2 linked regions of the Neurospora crassa OR74A genome follow. The protein of the gene in region 1 binds, or shares a complex with, the protein of each later gene. Links are inferred from orthologs where the notes say so. Each region holds a gene or a part of one and is shown on either strand. Other genes may lie near its edges.

Region 1 (3,736 bases):
CCCCCGTTGATCTTGTGGTATACCTCTATGGAGATGAGACTATGCTTGCCTTTTGTCGACCCTCGTTCCTTCATGGCGTTGTATGTATGGCCGAATTGCGGGCGCATACCGAGACGCTGTCGTGATATGCCCTTACACAGTCAACCACTGTAAAGATACCACCGCTGGAATGCATATAAATCTCGCTGCGCTCAGGTCTACCCACGCGGCTATTTACGCCCCTATTTTTTTTTTTTTTTCAGGATGGCGTTCACAGAACCGGTAGCAGATCTGAAAGGGCGAAGGGGGACGGCATTGTTATTCTGCTCCTTGCAGAAGAGATGAACGCAAAATGTGATTGGACAACTCGACCGACTCCAATGACCAAACGCCTTCAGTTTCTTTCATTGTAGTCTGTTGTCTATAATCAACGCAAAAAAAAAAAAAAAAAAAAAAAAAAAAAAAAAAAAAAAAAAAAAAAAAAGGGAAAAAAAAATTTTTTAATTTTTTTAGGAAAATTAAACAAATTTTATAAGTAAATAAATCAATAAAAAATTTGTTAAGTTGGGGTCGGTATATGACAACGGAGTCTAACAAACCCCATGTGTAGTCTTTGGTACATTCCTGAAGTCGTATGCCGATTTATAGGCACAGTCACGGCCTTGGCCGGGCCCTGAACCACATCGCCGTAGAGTTGCTCAGTTGAAAGTGGAAAACAAAGACAAACACGGCAGATCTCCAACAGACGATGTTATTGGGCCCAATACCCACACATGGCATCCTTCCGGTGATATACTGAGCCCTCGAACTGCCGGCCTGCGAGCAAATGAATAAGTTTCACTACATATTGTACAAGATGGTGGGTATATAGCCCAAGTTGAGCACAGTGGGTTATTTTATTCATGTAGTCTTCTTGTTCCTCCGGACTCCCATGTTGCGGACCCGGGGGGTAACCACCCACTTGTTGACGTTGGACTTTCTGCGAGTCTTGTAACCACCTTTGGCCTACAGAAAAAGAGGGTAAGGCGTCTGTTCAGAGGAAGGAAGGAAATAAAGGGGCATGACTTACAGGTGTACCCCAAGGAGAAACAGGGTGCCTATTACCCTTCGACTTACCACGACCACCACCGTGAGGATGGTCATCTACCAGGCCGTTAGTTGGTTTTGCTCGCTTGACAAACGGATTGTTCTGGGAGTCTACTCACTTGCGTTCATCGCCAAACCTCTCACAGTAGGCCTAATGTTGAGCCAACGGCTTCTACCGGCCTTGCCCAGTTGTCTGTAGTGATGCATAATGTTGCTGGCAATACCAACGGTGGCGCAAGCGTCCTTGCTGACCCTTCTGATTTCTCCGCTCTGCAGTCTTACGTTGACGAACTTGCCCGTCATAACCTTTGTACCATCCTCACGGGTCTCCTCCTCTTTGGAAATAATGGTTGCATATGTTCCGGCACTGCGGCAGAAAACAGCCTTGCCATCCGGACGGGAGCCAACGCAATAGATCTGGGTTCCAACCGGAATCATGGACACAGGCAAGCAGTTGCCTCTCCAGCATGTCCTCGCAGCCAGAATACCAGGATCAACGACACCACCCATAGAATCGAGCAGGTCCTGGGGAAGACCGGACCGGTAGCTCTGCACAACGTCTCCAGCCCTCATACCATCCGCCGCAACAATATAGCTCTTCCTCCCTGTGGCCTCTTCCTTCACCAGCGCAATGTGCGCGCTGCGACCGGGATCGTACTCAATGCGCAGGACTGTGTGCGGACCGGGGATCCATCGTTCAAAGTCGACCATGCGGATTCTTCGCTTGTGACCACCACCGCGATGTCTGACGGTGACGCGACCACTGTGATTACGGCCACCCTTAGATTGACCCTTCTTGGGAAAGGTAAGAGGAAGATACGGCCGGCCCTTCCACAGGTGGTCGTTGATCGGGCGCTTCAAGTGACGGATACCGGGCGTGTGCGGCTTGTAGGTTCTCATCATGCCGGCGTCCCGGACGTAGGGAGTGACGATCTTGGCTTTGGCATCTTTGCTGGTGTTGCTGGTGCTGGTGCTGCTTGCTGATTGTGTGGCGGCCTTGGTGGCATAGCATCTGGCGACGGTGCGGCCCAGCACGGTTTGGGCAAAGGAAGCTGTCCCCGCAAGGAGGGGTCGGAATTGAGGCTGCAGCATGGCTGCTCGATCGCTGTCGGATATCCCAAGCTCCTGGCGGTGAGCTCTGGGGAGGTGAGGGTGCTGGAGGGGACAGTTGCTGCGATTTCCAGCAACCGGAATGCGACGTCCTCGCAGGCTGCTCGTCGAGGTTCTCGTCGCCGGCTTGTCGTCGATAACTGCTTGTGGAAAATTGCTCGGCTGATGCGCCAATCACAGCCGTGCATTGGTTTGCGATCCCTGACGATTGTGGCTGCTAATAGTGTGGCTTGTGTGGTGCAGCCACTGCCCTTTGGTGAAGAGCCTTGTTTCTTTCCAGGGGACAAGTGCTGCAAACAGCGCTCCAAAACGCGGGCGCGGGAGGAAGGCACCAAGTCATCACCGCGTGAAGGTGCAGTGCGGCGCGGGGAAAGAGCGTGCATCGTGCTCCATTCCTGCCCGCCCAAGGTTCCAGTCGCGTCTGACCCAGGATAGGTAAGGTACCTTAGTGTTGACAGCTGCTGGACACGCGCAGCCTGTTGGACAGTTTAAACCAATCAGAAGCTGATTTGACCGAATTGCCCTGCGGTTGCCAGTGTTGCCCTGACGGCGGGCGGATGACAGCAAGGGAGGGACGTGGCCTGTGGTGGCCTTGCCGCCTTCAGTTCCTTCACTGCGTGTTTGAGGTGCGACCCTTCTTTGTCCCTTCTGCTTGCAGTGCTCCATAACAGCGCCCGGCCCAAGTACAATTTCCTGGCCGCTTTCTCGACTCCGGATTCTGCAACTCGACACTCACCATCCGACTAACAACCATTTCCCTGGACGCACGACAATCGACTTTCAGCTACAGCAACAACAGCAACTTTCGACTCCGGCCATTGAAGCCTGCATTTCTTCGGCAGTACAACCTTTTCGACTTGCTTATTCGACAACGGCATCCTCATCATTCGACAACTTAGCAAGGCAGGGAACAGCAAGACGTGCGTCTGACAGAAGCCCATATTGCACGGCGCGTCATCACTTGTTGTGGTAATTTTGTTCCCTTTCCGGTGTCTTGGACTTCAAAGCTTCAAAGCCTCGCTGCACTAGTGACCTCGAAGGGCACTAGAGGTACTTTGCCCCAGTCCCAGCACGTCCGATCCGGTACCTGGGTGGGTGTCCACACGCCCGCTCCGTCCACTGGCACTCCAGCCCCATCCACTGGGCTGCACTGGCACTGGCACCTCCACCAAGACCTCGCAAAAACAAGACTCCCATTCTTCTCTGCCTCGTAAACATCATACCTCCCTTTCCCGTCCGCCAACTAGCATTCCCACTCCGCATCACCTGGACTCGCAAGGCCTTGCCATCACGACGGCAACCCTTGGCCTCGATCAGTCAATCTTTCCGGACGTCGCCATTGCGTGCTTTGCCCCGACCGTCGTCACCAATTGGGCAACATTCCCGATCAACAACAGCACATCCTTCACGGTCTCAGCCAACCTTCTGTTGCGGGACCCAGGGTTGATCTCCGGCTTCAACAACGTGCCGACAGCGACATCACTGCCGACCGCCGGTGTTCATTCTTCCCGACATCTTTGGGCTCTGTAGTCGGTGCGTCTAGTCTCATTGACTGTCCGTG
Region 2 (3,103 bases), on another chromosome or scaffold:
CCTCGGCGACAGACCTGATAGCCTCGGGGCCGTAGATAGGCTCCTTGGTGCCGGCGACATTGGCCAACCTACAAGCGAGTCGTTAGAGGTCTGCGTCCAGCGGATGGTGGGGGTGGTGCTTGGAGTACTCACGCCGCTTGCGCCCACTTGAACATGATGAAAGACTGGGGGGGGGGGGTATAGGGCGAAATGGGAAGAGTATAGATTACAGAAGCAAAAAGTCAAGACAACGAGGCGAAAATGAGTCTAGTTGTGAGAATTTTCCAGGTAGTTTGATGTTCAAGATTAAAGTCATTCACCGCCGTCGAGAAAGATGGGGCAGAGCTGAGATGGCGCCGCGCTCAGATAAAAGCCAATGGAAAACAGAAGGGGCAACCCAGTCTGTCCCAAATCTCCTACAAGTACGTACCTTTGGGCTTCCCCGCGGCCGACTGCCTCTAGCCGTGGCCCTCGATGCGTGGCAGTCGAGCAGCAAAGAAGACTCACTGGCTCTTGAAGGTGCACGTCACTGTTCCGCCCAACTCTCCACATCACCTGAGGACTTGACGATCGATTGGACCCTTTCAGGTTCCTACAGCGGGTCTGCAATCACTTGGAGCGTTCAGGTTTCGCAATGCTGTGTTCCCTTGCAGACTTGCAGCAGCTCGAACGCACCTTTGCGGCAGGGCAGGCGGCAGGCAATGACGGGAATGATCAATCCAAGTCACGCCCGGTACCCGTACTACGCCCCCACTTTTTTGGGACTCGCAAATTCGCACCCACCTAAGTGGGTGCTTACGAATAACACGGCCACACCACTAAAACGGCCACCAGGGTTAGAGGTGCGAATCAGATAAACGATACCAAAATAGTGAACGCCCACAACGTATTTCAACAACTAATTGAGAATAAAGAAAGAGTTAGAAGATAGTCAGGACAGAGTAATGTATCCGTTCAGCTTTTCATTTTTCAGAAATTTCTATATGTTGGGAAGTTGTGCTTTACCCTACGAATCGAGCCTCAAAACTGCACCTCTAACCCTGACCTGGCCGTTTTACTGGTGTGGCCGTAGTACCCGTGAGCACCCACTTTAGGGGGTGCGAGTTCTACGAGGTCCAAAAAAGTGGGGGCGTAGTACGGGTAGGAGAGCAATTGGGGACGAGCGAGGCCGGGACTTTCAGTTGACGGGCGGGCTCGGCGTCGATGCTGTACTAGTACTACTGTAAGCCACTAACGGCACTGAAAAGCGGCGATAAGGGACTGATTGCGGCACTTTACACTAAATAGTGTGTGGCTGAGGCTTTGAAGAAGTGGCTGACGTGACCCTGGCTGCAACGGTTGCCGGCCCGGCGCCCTGATTTTTTTTTGGGCCCAGCTTGAGGTGCCGCGCGCGGCGTCGCCGCCGCCGTTGCTGCCGCCGTCGCGAACGAGGATACCCGACCGACCTCGAAAGTGTAACACGCGACTGCAGACGCGCCGAATTACCGTTCCGTTCTCCTCCCAACTTAATTTCCCTCGAGGGTATCTGCAGTAGAGTCGCCAGAATGTCCAAGGCCGCAAAAGGTGGTGCTGGTGGTGTTGAGCAGGTGGTGAAGCTCATTGTCGGCGCCGGTCAGGCCAGCCCGAGTCCCCCGGTCGGTCCGGCCCTTGGTTCCAAGGGCATCAAGTCCATGGACTTTTGCAAGGTCGGTTTGCATGCGCCCACCCATATAATATCCACAACACAAGCTGACATGCGCTCAAATCTGTATAGGAGTTCAACGCCAGAACCGCCCATATCAACACCGGTACCCCTATGCCCGTCCGTGTTACCGTCAGGCCCGACCGCTCGTTCCACTTCGATGTCCGCACCCCTCACACATCATGGCTTCTGCTCAACGCCGCCGAGGCCCCGATAGGCAAGGGCGGCAAGAGAAAGGGCGCCAGCAACCCCGGCAAGGAGGTTGTCGGCACCGTCAGCCTCAAACATGTCTACGAGATTGCCAAGATCAAGCAGTCCGAGCTCCGTCTATCCGGCCTGCCCCTCGAGGGCCTCTGCAGGGCGGTCATCTACCAGGCCAGGTCGATCGGTATCAACGTTATCCCCTGAAAGAGGCTATACGCTGAAAGACATTATACGGGCTTGGGGGCACGAAGGCGTTACGGTTGTTTCTTTTAGGTGGATAGACCACGGCATTGTTACCAATATTGGATGCGGACTATAGCCATAGCTTGTGGCTCTGTGTATCTTTGCTTGTATCATTATTGTATGGCAAAATCTCAAAATGCACAGCGGTGCCTGGAGCTGTTGGTTGGTCCACGGAGTATGATCGTTTGGGAAAGGCTTCCACAAAAGGGTGCTGATGGCAGGCATGGCATATATGGGCATTTGCCGGTTTGCGTTTGCATTGCCTCAACGTACTCCAGCTTCGTCAACCTTGGCTCACATAGCTTGTGTTTGTGGAACACGCAGGCGTATGACGAGGATCTGTCTCTGTAGGATTAAGTTTTAAGGTTGGCGGTCACCAAGGTAGACCGCCCAACGGGTATTATGCTTACCTGAATGTAGGTGAGATGTGTTTATAATGCTTTTGGCTAAGCTGACTGCAAGACAAATCACACACATATATAAAAAGGGGTTTTGTAAACAAACATCCGCTTCGCCCAAGTGCTTATCCACCAGCCCACTTCTTACCACTCAGGCGAAGCCCCGGTATCATGTCGCCATGGTGTTCATCTCATGCTTTCAATACTAACGAGATGAAATGGATGATTGTTTAATATCCTACACGTGTGCAACGATTGCAATTACATTCAATGGCTTCTAGAACCATTCGGGCAATTACCTCCCGCAGCATGGCGGGGTATCGACATGGGTTACACCGAACCGAGCGATAAGGACCTGGTTTTCGGCGGTAGAGATCGACATAGAAAGCTGTTTACCATATCCGTTGGCAGTCCATCGAAAAAAAAGGTTGGGTGACATCAGGACAGTCACTGGAGACAAAGCTGACCACCAACACCACCTAGACTTGTCATCCATGCCTTTGCGGTGCCTCGGTCTTTCGGACACGGCGGCGCTCTAAAAGGCCGCTTTGACGGTGGTCGGGGCTGCTGCGGGATTCATACTTGACTCTCTGTTGTT

Evidence for each region. The genes of interacting proteins can lie anywhere in the genome.
Region 2: NCU02757 (region 1) and NCU04336 share a complex: the UniProt entries of both Schizosaccharomyces pombe proteins name them as parts of the mitochondrial large ribosomal subunit. The link is inferred for Neurospora crassa OR74A from reciprocal best matches to the Schizosaccharomyces pombe genes rml2 and mrpl19.

Annotation. Positions count from the first base shown.
Region 1 is NC_026501.1:3,455,407-3,459,142, forward strand, and holds NCU02757 (mitochondrial 54S ribosomal protein RML2), read right to left. Parts: upstream 2,542-3,736; 5' UTR 2,158-2,541; coding exon 1,185-2,157; intron 1,123-1,184; coding exon 1,049-1,122; intron 985-1,048; coding exon 880-984; 3' UTR 511-879; downstream 1-510. UniProt on the Schizosaccharomyces pombe protein: Component of the mitochondrial ribosome (mitoribosome), a dedicated translation machinery responsible for the synthesis of mitochondrial genome-encoded proteins, including at least some of the essential transmembrane subunits of the mitochondrial respiratory chain.
Region 2 is NC_026504.1:3,733,339-3,736,441, forward strand, and holds NCU04336 (mitochondrial 54S ribosomal protein YmL19), read left to right. Parts: upstream 1-1,354; 5' UTR 1,355-1,523; coding exon 1,524-1,664; intron 1,665-1,732; coding exon 1,733-2,068; 3' UTR 2,069-2,603; downstream 2,604-3,103. Other genes in the region: NCU04337 (survival factor 1), read right to left, coding at 1-68, 133-155. UniProt on the Schizosaccharomyces pombe protein: Component of the mitochondrial ribosome (mitoribosome), a dedicated translation machinery responsible for the synthesis of mitochondrial genome-encoded proteins, including at least some of the essential transmembrane subunits of the mitochondrial respiratory chain.